3 linked regions of the Arabidopsis thaliana genome follow. The protein of the gene in region 3 interacts with the protein of the main gene of each other region in a pairwise test. Each region holds a gene or a part of one and is shown on either strand. Other genes may lie near its edges.

Region 1 (3,967 bases), on a different chromosome or scaffold from region 3:
GGTGGTGGTGATGGTGGTGGTGACTTTGTGGTGGTGACGACGTTGTAATCGGTACCGGCGAGTTGATTGGTTTTATCTTAAGGTCACTTATGTCTAAAATATAGGAAATACACACAATATCATTGGACTATTTATTTTGGTTAGTTACCTAATTGTAATATTTTTGTATGTTATAAATGCAAATTTCCATTATAACATCTGTTTCATGTTATAATTGGCAGGGTCACTAAAACTGGCCCACAAACCAGGAAAGCAGAAGCTGGGCCATCTCCATTAAGAATTTTGTTGGTCTCATCAGGCCCAATACACCTTGGGAAATAAACACTAGTCCAAAAACAAGGAGATCAGAATAAGGCCCATATCTATTAGGGATTTTCCTAAGCTCGTCAGTCCCAGTAACAACAAACCTAAACTCTGGCCCAAATCCCATAAAAGAAGAAGTTGGCTCATCTGAATTGGGGTTCTGACCTTGCTTCGACAAAACATGCGTCTGTTAACCGGCGACACAACAACACAACAATATCTATAAATATGTATCGTTTTTCTTCAATTCAGAGAATTTCGTTCTCCTCATAGCAACAGCAACATCACGTAACAATTTGGCCTCTAAAGTAAGCAAATGTCCAAATATTCAGCAGCTAAGATTCTACTTGGTTGTAAGATTTTTGAAGATATGCGAACTAAACGAAGAAGAAAAAACTGCATCTACTAAAGATCGAAGTTCATAGGTGGTTTAAAAAGATGACCAGACCAATCAGACCAAGACTTTAGAAAGAAAAACTAAACTAAAATAATAATATCCGATAGCAAAAAAAATTCACTATTTAGTAGCCCGGAATCAGCAAAATTGATATCATAATTTGCACTAAAAAAAACTCAACTTGTCATAATTTGCACTAAAAAAACAGTTGCAAAAATAAGATTTGGTAATGGATCATAATTAAGAAATCAAGCAGCGATCTCCCTTTTTAGCTTAGCAAGCTCCTGCCTCACAATACCAGCCCTCTGCAAAACAATATTCATATATTAGAGGTTATTCAATAACACTAAGATGCGTCTTAATACAATCCAAAACAAACCAGTATCAAACCAAAGATCATAAACCCAAGAAGATGGTGAATGTAGTAGTAGTAGATACAGTTTAAAGTTTAGATAGTATTATTTCTAAACCACAACCGAAAGTGAGGGCAAATGAAGCAGTGAAAACTCATCTGCATTTGCACAAAGTAGAGTTGACTAAAACAACATTGGTGGATACAAAGAAGTAAACCAACCTTGATTTTGGCCAACATGATCTTGAACCTGTCAAAATCATTGAGGGCAGCTCTTCTCTTCTGCACAATAAGTTTCCTACCCCATGAACTCTTCTCCCACTTGTTCTTCACATCTGCATATAACTTTAGAGCTAAGATGACCCAACCCAACCAACAACAAAAAAAGGCCAATAAAACCTACGAATAATCAAAAGTATGCTACAACAAACTCACCAGCCTTCTCCATTGCCTCAATCAAAACCTTCTTCTTGGGAACTCTGTTGATATCAATGACGATGTCAGTAAGAGACAACCTCTTCAAATTCATCTGGATTCTCTCCATGTCAGGGGCATCCACAAGTGCCTAAAAAGGACAAGATAAACAGAAACACTTTAGACAAAACATAAACCATTTCAAAGACTCCTAGCTTCAGCCAAAACCACAAGTATTAAACTAAGCATACAAATTCTACTCCTAGCATCATAACTATTGTATCAATATATATTTCAGTGAGCAATAAGAAGATAGTTACATTGATTACAATACCAAATCGAAAAAAAAAACAGAGCTTGCATATCAAGTTACCCTGTTTTGGTCGACTACATCGACGATAACCACGAGCTTTCCATAATCCTCGCCGTAGTTAACGAGCGCCACTCTCCCAATCTCCACGAATCTCTTAAAACCCTTCACAATCAAACACAAAGTTCTCGAGGTTAAAAACTATATAAATCTGTAAAGATAACAAATTCCAAAGAGAAGCAGCTAGGGCAATAGCAGAATCTTTAAAGTTTTCAGAAACACTAAAATACATGGAATCAAGCGAAGAACATCGCTCACCATTTTGGCCGGCTAGAAGAAACAGATTGGAGCAATTGTGCGGCGAAGAGATTTTTATGTGCCCAAGAGATTATTAGGGTTTTTGATATAAAAGAATTAGGCACATAAGCATATAGAAGCCCACTAACAATTTTAAAGGCCCATTAAATGTGGAGAGATTACATGACGTCGTTTAAGAATACCGAAACCGATCGGTTTAATGTTTGAAATCGGAGCTAATAAAATCGGCTTGGTTCGGTTAAAAAGGAAAGTACTCTGCTAGAAATAGAAAGATGAAAGATGAAAGATGGAAGAAGAAGACGGGCATGTCTCTGAAGATTCCGGCTGTTTAGGATCTCAATCTGTATGTATTTTTCTTTTGTTCGTATTCTCTCTGTAGACAATTTCAAATTGTTGGGTCTAATCGGTTTCTGGATTATCCAAATGATAATGATGATGGTGTTCTGATACTGATTTTAAGGTTATATATATTATTGAGCAATGGGAGCTTCGTCGTTGCAAAAAGAATATATCTTCCTTGTGTTTTCGTTTACATATTTGTAAAGTTTTCATTTTTTCTCCATTCTGATCCTGGGTTTTATTTCTTGAACAGTGGTCTGATGAATCCATGAATGATTTATGTGGGAGATGGATGAAACTATAAGTTTGGTTTGAACAAGAAGAAGGAAGGTTGAATGTTTTGCTGCGGATTTATGTGGAAATCCGGAGGAGAAGATTTGCAAGGTTTCTATCCAGTTAGACCTGAATGTCAACCAGATGTTCCCAGGACCCGTTTTAAATCAAGGGTACCATTCTTCTTCTCAATCACCTGTTTCATGTCTTGATGAATTGATGATACATTAGGTTCTTGTTTGTTTGTTTGTAGCTGATGAAATGATTCATCTTGATATGTAATTTGTCAGGCTGGAAAGACTCTAAGTGCTAGAAGATGGCACGCTGCCTTTACTGAAGATGGCCATTTGGATATGGAAAAAGTGCTTAGACGTATACAGCGCGGAGTGAGTCTACTTTCTTTTCCTGATCTTGTTTCTATCTATATGCTCTTTTTGTTGTTGTTCACTTGGTTTCTTTGCTAGGGAATTCATCCTTCCATCAAAGGCGCTGTTTGGGAGTTTTTGTTAGGATGCTACGATCCAGACAGCACTTTTGAGGAAAGGAACATACTGAGGAATCGCAGAAGGTACTATAGAATTGGTTGATCATTTACTAGTTTTGTAGATGCACGTCATGGCTAACTTTAAATGTTATTGATCATCTAAGGGAGCAGTACGGTGCATGGAAAGAAGAATGTAAGAAAATGGTTCCTGTCATTGGTAGTGGCAAGTACGTCACAATGGCAGTCGTTCAAGAAAATGGGAACCCAATAGACGAATCTTCTGTAGAAAACCAAGGATGGATCGTGAAAAACACTGTTACAGATGAGAGAGTGCTACAATGGATGCTCTCACTACACCAGATCGGTATGCCTTTACATATAAATAAGTTTAGTTCTATCTGATTATCTTCTTATAACCTCTTTTTACATATTCTTGTATATTTTGTTTCAGGCCTTGATGTTGCTAGAACAGATCGGTATCTCTGTTTTTATGAGAATGATCGTAATCAATCAAAACTATGGGACGTTCTTGCCATATATACGTGGTTGAATCTTGATATTGGTTATGTTCAGGGTAAGTGTACTTGCTGTTAACGATTAATCTTTTGAAACTATATAAGAAACAGAACTGATCCACTTTGTCTATTCATGTAGGAATGAATGATATATGTTCCCCAATGATAATCCTCTTTGATGATGAAGGCGACGCTTTCTGGTGCTTTGAGCGGGCAATGCGGAGACTAGTAATAACTAATAGCCTATGACATAACTTCTCAT
Region 2 (3,822 bases), on a different chromosome or scaffold from region 3:
TGTAACTATTCATTAATGTATTCCCATATGACTCGTATTTTTGCCTCTTTTCAGGTGGCCGGAATCTTGGATTCTATTCTCCATCACTCCATGACACTCATGAAAAAGATAGAACTTGGTAAAAACTTCTGAAGCTCCCTAAGGGTTTTATTTCGTTTTCCTCTGTAACGAGTCAGAAATTTTTGCCCTAGTTATACCAGACGTCACTTAAATAATTCGGTTATATATATTCACAAACTGTTATCCTTTTGAACATATATAAGTATTATCGATGTCTCTGAAGTCTTTGGGAGTTTTAGTAGAACAAATTGTTATCACTTAAATCAGGGGAATTTACTTCCAAATTCTCCAATACCAAAATACAGCTTCTTGTGAGTTGGTTCATACTGATGATGGAGAAATGTAATTTTTAGCCAACAAGGTTTCAACTTTCAACGTTTGAAACTAGATTTGAGCACAAATATAGCAATCAACTTTCCCCCATGGCTGCTTATAGCAATCATCGACGGAAGTCACAGCAGAACGGAGAGTCCTCTCGTTCCCTTTGGACAGAGTTGCATCCTCTACTAGAATTTTACTTAGGTAGAAGTAAGTATCCACAGTAAAGAATCTCCTTCTTGTTACAATTTTCAATTTTGTGTTCTCTTCAAGCTAATTATTAGTTTAGTTAGCTTAGCATGATTCAACTTTAGCCTTGGTATAGAATCATAACATAGAACCATATAAACGAAAATAAGACTAAGATCAAAAGAACAAAAAACTTTGAGTTTTGCAAACAAGGTTTCAAACTTGAATAATGTCTGATAATTGAGCACATACTGATATTGATAGTTCCAAAAACACTAATTTCCGAATCCAAAATCAAAAAAGAAAGACAACAGAATTGTAGATAATATTTGATCAGGCAGTGATCTCCTTCTTGAGTTTTGCAAGCTCTTGCCTGACAACACCAGCTTTCTGCAAACAGCAAAAAAACCCATTAACATTTCAGTTCTGACATGAATGAACACTACCACAGAATTTCAAACATCTAACAATTTAACACACTGACCTTGATCTTGGCCAACATGATCTTGAACCTATCAAAGTCGTTAAGGTTAGCCCTACGTTTCTGCACGATAAGCTTCCTACCCCATGAGCTTTTCTCCCACTTGTTCTTCACATCTGCAAGACTTTTCCAGTTAAGATTGAAACACTTCAAAATTCAAATATTTACATTACGCAGCACTCACCAGCCTTTTCCATTGCCTCGATCAAAGCCTTCTTCTTTGGCACACGGTTGATGTCAATGACAATATCGGTAAGAGACAACCTCTTGAAGTTCATCTGGATCCTCTCCATATCAGGGGCATCCACCAAAGCCTAAATGACGAGAACATAATAAGAACTCCATAAAAACAACTAGACAATATTCAGCTCAATATTCACCAAGGAAATGCAATAGGCTCCAATCAATGATGCAAACTGAGTTATAACTGTAAGCCAATTATGCAACCAAAGTCTCAAGCTAAATCAAAATTTTCCTTAATCAAACAATTTACCGAAACATACACAGTAGCATTACGGAATCAAGCATTAAAACAGCTGAAACTCATCAATACATACATGATAAAGAGATGGAAATCTTCATAACCTAAGAATGAAATAAACTTACTCTGTTCTGGTCAACAACGTCGACGATAACGACGAGCTTTCCATGATCTTCTCCGTAGTTCACAAGTGCTACTCTCCCGATCTCAACGTACCTCTTGAAACCCTAAACAACCAATCACCAGAAAATATTAAATCTAACAACTTTGGACTCTAACCTATACACAAACGTAACTTGATTGAGAACGTCAAAAGCCTAATCCCCAAAAAAAAAGATCTAGAAGAAAGAAATCCGAAATGTGCTATGAACATGAGCTAAATACAGGAGATAATCACGTAGAACACAGACGAACTAACCAAGGTATTAGCTCAATAAGAGAGTATATCTCACCATTTTCGCCGCCGGTAGATTGGAAGGTCTAAGCTCCGAGTGTAAATGTAGACGAGCGACAGCAGAGGAAAAAATCGATTAGGTTTTGCACTATATATAATCTTCATTCTAGGGTTTTGTGGTTTGGGCCTATCTTTACTAAATAAATATCACAAAGGCCCAACATTAAACGCCCAATATGGTAAAGAGAGAAAACGGCGTCGTTTTATGTTGGATATTTTTGGGGGAAAAAAAAAAAAAGACACAGTGTCTCTTTCATGTGGAAGAAGATAAATTAGAGAGAAGTGATGGAGAAACTCCGTTATTTGTGGAGGCAACAACTATTGTGTAATGAGACCAGCTCATCAATCATCATCTCCAGAAAAAAGGAATGATACAAGAAACTTAGTTGATAGATAGACGACAGGAAAATAATATACGCAGAAAGAAACCTAAAAAAAAAAGTTTCTGTCTTTAGACTCCAATCCACTAAGCTCCAAGCTGGGTCCCCTTAAATTCTCAATCTTTTTCTCCCTAAATTTCCTTTAATTTCTTCATTGATCATTGCTCATTGATCGATCTTCTGAGTTTTGAGGGGACCCCGATCCAAAGTGTATCTCTTTCTGTTTTGCTCAGCATTTGGATTTGATTTCTTTTTTTTCCCGGGAAAGTTTGATAGAGATGTGGGGAGGCGCAGGTGAGCCAGCAGATTCTTACTACCAAGTTCGTCCTGAGTGCACCGATGTCCCCAAGACCAGATTCAAAATCAAGGTTACTTCTTTCGATCCCTTCTTCTTCATTTTCTCCGATTTTTGCTTATTCTAGTTTTGCTTCTTCGTTGGGTCGTCTCTGTTTTATGATTACGAATACGATATGTGATTGCTGATTCGGTTCCAATTACATCCAGATTCTCTGGTTATCTATGTTTTCGAAAATGCATTGTCTCTGTTGTGAATTTGTTCCTGACATTGTAATGTTCATAAATCTGATTCCTTATGAGGAGATATTGATCTTAGGAGCTGTTCAGGGTCTCATATATATTCTTGATCCCACTGGATCTTTTTCTCAGTAGCATCACATGAATGATTGTTTTAGTGAGATTGTCACTTTTTCCAGACATAAGCTTGAAAGGATTTTAACTTCTTGACTCCAGGGTCTTTAGGAAGATACATAAGATAGGAAGATAGGTTATGTGCTTGACTGGTACTAATTTGGAACTAGATTGAATAATTTTGAACCTTTACATTACAGGCCATAAAAGCCTATATCATTCCATGTCTTGTGGTCATAATGTATCATGAATAATTGCATCATGTTGAGGCCAGGAAGTTTTTGCTATGTTGCTGACAACACGGGTCATATTTATGATGTTTGTGCAGCCTGGTAAAACTCTAAGTGTAAGAAAATGGCAGGCTGTATTTGTACAAGAAGGGTCTCTCCATATTGGCAAGACTCTAAGACGCATCCGAAGAGGGGTATGTTTGTTTGGATAAGTCTTTGTAAAGACTGATTTATCCTTTCATTTGTTCTGTATCTTTGATAACTTATGTTACTTTAATATTCCTTTACAATCAATCTATAGGGAATCCATCCATCAATTAGAGGCGAAGTATGGGAATTCCTACTTGGTTGTTATGACCCAATGAGCACATTCGAAGAAAGAGAGCAAATTCGACAACGCAGAAGGTAGAATTTTGTCCTCATATCCTATATATATGTATCGCATTTGGCATAATTACATGTTTCTTTCAGTTCATTCATAAACCATCGATTCAGTTTTGTGAATCCTACCGCTAATTCTCTTCTTTCAGATTGCAGTATGCTTCTTGGAAGGAAGAGTGTAAGCAAATGTTTCCTGTCAT
Region 3 (4,935 bases):
TGATACTCCTGCAACAAGAATGGATAGTGCGAGGTAAACTAACTGAACATATGAAAATTCCACACTTGAAACAAGTTAAGAAAAGAACAGAGCATCTTTATTCACCTGATACGAGAATGCCAACACATCGTTTCACCACATGAAGCAAAGCATCCAGAAGACCAGAAGAGGTTATTATATTGGGCAACTTATCGAAAGAGAGGGCAGCCTGAACAACAGCCAGATCATCATCCCAAAGCTGACGCAGTATAGCATCCTGAATTGTGACAAGGTTCTGGATGGAGAGGGTAAAAAAGATATTGAAGAACAGTAAGATGACATGAAGTCAAAGTAAAGAAACAAAAAATACTTGGAATGAGTACCCCACACATACCTCTGCTTTAGAGCTATCATCCTTGAGAACACCATTTAGACTAGAAAGCGCGGCACAACGTACAGCAGCCTATTATTTATAAGAAGCCCTCAGTCTTGCGCAAAAAGTAAATAAAAAATTTTATTCACATAACTAAGATTAGAGGTTATAGTACCCTGGGATGGTGGAGCCGGAACCACAATTTTGAATCCACAAACGGGTGAGACATGTCTGAATTCCCATCCAGCATACAAGACAACATCTCTAGCTTTAAATCCTCTTTCTTCGACTGAACTTCAGTAGCCTGCAACAAGAAGTCGATGACTCAGAAGACCATATAACAAACACAAAGGAAAATAACTAAATGAGAGTTGGAGCACAGACCTCTAAAAATTTAGGAACTGCGGCACGTAGTTCAGCAGGATACTTCTTGCTTACAACAACCAGAAATTTCTTGGCCCAGCTTCCTACAACTAAATTGCAACAATATTGGTTATATAAAGAGGAATCTGAAAAAGAATCTTCAAAAATGAACACCCAAAACTCAATGACATAAGTAGTTGACATATCACTAACCAGATGTAGAAGATCTAAAATCACTGTTCTTCTGGTATTGTGTCATACATAAAGAGAAAACCTTGGAGATCAAATGATCAACCAAATTGCTTACGGGAACAGTCTCAATTATTGAAGCTAAAACTTCGCAGCATTTATCATCAGACGAACTGCAACAAGATGACAGTAAATCACACATGAATACTAACAAAATAAATCCATCCGCTTGAAAATGACAAAACAGTGTTTGATATACACCTGTAAAAAAGTAAAGAATCCAGTAGCACTGCCAGGAATCTTTTGATGTTGAACTCTTTGGACAAGCCTAAAAGAACACCAGAAATATCTCTGCACAAAATTGAAGCCATCGTTGAAAAAATACTAGTAATAGTTACAATTAAAAAAAGCTTCAGAAGGAAGACTGTTCATATTCAGATACCTTATTTCGTTAAAAAGATCCAATGCTTTCCTTGGGATCAAGTCCACAGATTGCAGCTGTAGTTGATTCAGAAAATTAATTGTTTAAAACAATCAACACCAACCACTTGTGAGCAGAATCCTCAGTGAGGAATAGAAAATATGTCCACCTCATACTTAGAAGTTTATACATTCGTGATATCGAAAATTAAAATGTAAGAAGTTCATGATGACAGAAAGTTATTGCACCTGAACAAAATTGATCAAGGCCATAAGTGACAATCGAAGCGAATGCGGGTCAGAAGATTCCTTGGCATGTTCACGACCAATGTCGATGATGGACCTCATCAAGCGCTTGATAAGATTAGTATTTAGCACAGCTCTGTTTGCCAACATGCCAACAACCATTAACGCTCCAGCCTAGAACCATATAAAGTTTGTCATAAAAGGCACATCAACTGAATAACAAAATCAATTAGAGAAAAATATTTGGTAAGAAAACCACTAAAAAACCTGTTGATCTAAACATCCTTTCACACCAGATTGAAGACCAGAGTCCACAAATGGCAAAATCGTCTTTACAATATCTCCATCAACAGTTGGAACTGAACCGAGCACCCCAACAACAACTGCGGTGGAGAAGCTAACCACAGGTTTTGAAGGCTGATACTTCTTAGTACGAGATGCCTACAATGTAACCAAGATTTCAGATGTTCAGTTTGATGTAGCCATTCAAAAACCAGTTTATAGGGAAAAAAAATATTAACAGCTACTTACATAGTCACACAAGGCCTCCAAAACTTGTTTATCACGTATACATTGCTGAACGATAACCGATCTAGGAGGTGGAGCACCTGAATTTTTAACACCATCCAGAAATTTCCACTTGGAATTTCTGTAAAGCAAATGAGAACCAGGGTTTACTAATCGATATGATAAATTGTGAGACTTCACTTCGAAATCGAAAGTGAAAGATATATACTCACCCAGTAGAAAGCAGTTGAACAATGCGGACAAAGGCATGTGTGTCATGGTATGGCAAGGCGCATAGAACCACATCTTCCAAGTTGTATATATGAATCCTGAAATATAGAGCAATTAGGACAATTCGATGAACGAACAAAGGCAAATATACATAACCAATAGTGATAAGGAAACACATACTTGTATCGTCGTATGAGATACTCAAGGGTCTCCAAGGAAGCACGAAATTGAAGATAACCAGAGAGTAAACGTAGATACGAACTGATTGATGAATCAATCCGAGCATTTTCTTCTTTACCCAGCAATTCCCTATCAATTTCTTTACTTTTATGACTAAACAAGTCGTTCATGTAATTTTTAAACCTCTCATCTTTGTTTCCAAGTACTTCTAGACCTGAATTAACAAAAATAATTAACGATGAGAATTTAATTTATCATTGAGCTTGTTCATTAGAATTGCATAATAGGAGAAGAGAACATACCTTTGAGCCCGAGCTCGTAAATTGATTCGATATCGAAATCAGCTGCTTCTTTAGGACTGAAGAGAATCGAAGGGCGTGTGAAAGGTCTCTTGGAAGGCTCTGTATCGGCTTGTAACACTGACTTGAGAGCCTGTAACTGTGACACTATTGAAGAACTCATACTCGCTATTGGGATAAGATTATTCTTCAGAGGAAATTCGAAGAATAAGTTTGAGGTAGAGAGAGATAGAGAGATAGAGAGCGGCGTTGAGGGAGAAGAAGAGAAAGAAGAAGAAGAAGCGGGTTTAGGGTTTAACGATCCTTTTATTTTTAATCTGGAAGATATAGTAATATAAAGAAACAAGGAAACCCCTGAGTTATAATGGAATTGCGTTTTAAACCATGACCTATTTTTTTGTTTTTCGAATTTAAACCCCAATAGTTTTACAACTTGATAATAAAGCCCATCTCTAATCTGCCGCTACTATTACAAAACTGTGCGTTTTAATTCCTCAATCGAGAAAGTCTTGAAACAAGTGTAAGAAAGTCAAGATACAATCACTGTTCACATCACATTTGCCAAGATTAACAAACCCATCTATCCAAGAATTTCAGTAAAATGGAAGTGAGAACAGAGAACAAAAAAGAAACTTAACACCTGACCTCTTTCATTAGAAGTTAAATATTATATTATACGCAGACAATTAACGACATCATCAACTTCAAACATATGTTCATAAACAAAAAATGTACTATAAACAAGTCATTTTCCTTATCCTCTTCATTAATAGTTGTAACCGTTAGCCAACTTCTTCTCATCCTTATACACGACTCCATTTTCCGTTTCTCCACACTTGGCAAGGCCTAAGGTCATTGTAAGCAAACTCCAAACTCTCATCAGTCGTTTGGAAGTAGACACCATATCTCGTTTTGTTGTTGTTTATCTTATATACTCGACCAGACCACCATCCTTCATTGTACCAAGCATCCACAAGTTCATACAATTCATATCGATACCCCTTTGGAATCAGTGGAGGAGGAGGAGGTCTTATATCTGAACCTCTTGCTTCTTCCTTCAACAACTCTCTTTCATCGTCTGTTTTTAGTGTTTGATACTCCACTGTGTATCTGTTTTCGCCCAAGTAACTTACGATCTTTGCAGAGAACCATGAGGCTTCGTAACCTGGTTCGTCGCTTCTAACTTCCACCTCCATTCCATTGTTAAACACCTTCTCTGCTCTCTCACAAGATTTCAGCTTCTTCAATGGAGGTTTGTAACATTCTTCCGGCACATCAGTCAATACCTTGGAAGGAATGACCCATTGTCCATTGATCCAATCTTTGTGGGGCCTTAAGTTGAAATTTAAGATTGTCGTTTCTTCACCAGTTGAGATGATAAAAACTGAATACTTATTAGAACCTCCTCCTAGGACTTTGGAAACCCTACTGGTCCACCACCGTTTGTTGAACCAAGCATCAACTATAACCCCTGGTTCATAGCACACAACAGGCGAGAGTTCTGAAGGAGGAACTGGTCTTATGTCCTTGGCTTCTACCACATCTCTCAGAGGGATCGACTCACCATCATCTCTACTAAATTTCAAGTGTTCAACAATGTACTTATCATCACCTAATAAACAAAGTATACGAGCACAATACCAAGAACCCTTGTAAGCTTTTTCTTCACTTCTGACTTCGACAAGAGCTCCCTTCTCATATTGATCTCTTCTCTTGATTTTTATCTTCAGTTTAATTCTTTGGGCTGTCGATTCCGAGAAATTGCTCTGTAAATCAAAAAAGCAGTGTGAGTTTATTATGCCAAATTCCAACAAATCTTCAAATTCAAATTGCTTGACATACAGTATATATAGTATAATTAAGTCTTTTTTCTAAATTTACAATTTTTTTTTTTTTTTTTTTTTTTTTTTTTTTTTGGTTTTACTAAATTTACAATTAATTCGTCAAATCTTTCAATGTATCTTAATCCCTAAAACATTAAATTCACTATTTTTCTACAAACCCTAGATTCAATTCAAACGCAGAGAAATGTTTTACCTGTTGGAGAAGAGAAGGAACCCACCCACCATCTAGCCATTCACGATGAAGCCTCAAATTGAACTGATCAACCTCTATTTCTGGACGATTTTCCCCTTTAAACTCCACAAT

What was found. The genes of interacting proteins can lie anywhere in the genome.
Region 1: the proteins of AT3G06530 (region 3) and AT2G20450 interact in a two-hybrid assay, tested with the Arabidopsis thaliana proteins (one large-scale study listed by BioGRID).
Region 2: the proteins of AT3G06530 (region 3) and AT4G27090 interact in a two-hybrid assay, tested with the Arabidopsis thaliana proteins (one large-scale study listed by BioGRID).

The regions. Positions count from the first base shown.
Region 1 is NC_003071.7:8,812,053-8,816,019, reverse strand, and holds AT2G20450 (Ribosomal protein L14), read right to left. Parts: upstream 2,189-3,967; 5' UTR 2,098-2,188; coding exon 2,095-2,097; intron 1,942-2,094; coding exon 1,840-1,941; intron 1,618-1,839; coding exon 1,488-1,617; intron 1,388-1,487; coding exon 1,275-1,387; intron 1,006-1,274; coding exon 949-1,005; 3' UTR 641-948; downstream 1-640. Other genes in the region: AT2G20440 (Ypt/Rab-GAP domain of gyp1p superfamily protein), read left to right, coding at 2,769-2,879, 2,997-3,092, 3,171-3,274, 3,355-3,554, 3,642-3,764, 3,845-3,933.
Region 2 is NC_003075.7:13,593,204-13,597,025, forward strand, and holds AT4G27090 (Ribosomal protein L14), read right to left. Parts: upstream 2,050-3,822; 5' UTR 1,985-2,049; coding exon 1,982-1,984; intron 1,757-1,981; coding exon 1,655-1,756; intron 1,363-1,654; coding exon 1,233-1,362; intron 1,165-1,232; coding exon 1,052-1,164; intron 958-1,051; coding exon 901-957; 3' UTR 641-900; downstream 1-640. Other genes in the region: PDIL5-4 (PDI-like 5-4), read left to right, coding at 55-132; AT4G27100 (Ypt/Rab-GAP domain of gyp1p superfamily protein), read left to right, coding at 2,642-2,731, 3,340-3,435, 3,543-3,646, 3,772-3,822.
Region 3 is NC_003074.8:2,020,611-2,025,545, reverse strand, and holds the start of AT3G06530 (ARM repeat superfamily protein), read right to left. Parts: upstream 3,087-4,935; 5' UTR 2,951-3,086; coding exon 2,791-2,950; intron 2,703-2,790; coding exon 2,489-2,702; intron 2,407-2,488; coding exon 2,311-2,406; intron 2,220-2,310; coding exon 2,102-2,219; intron 2,012-2,101; coding exon 1,838-2,011; intron 1,745-1,837; coding exon 1,574-1,744; intron 1,403-1,573; coding exon 1,347-1,402; intron 1,256-1,346; coding exon 1,166-1,255; intron 1,078-1,165; coding exon 929-1,077; intron 826-928; coding exon 737-825; intron 657-736; coding exon 528-656; intron 443-527; coding exon 374-442; intron 275-373; coding exon 106-274; intron 9-105; coding exon 1-8. Other genes in the region: AT3G06520 (agenet domain-containing protein), read right to left, coding at 3,591-4,553, 4,825-4,935. UniProt on the Arabidopsis thaliana protein: Involved in nucleolar processing of pre-18S ribosomal RNA. Involved in ribosome biosynthesis.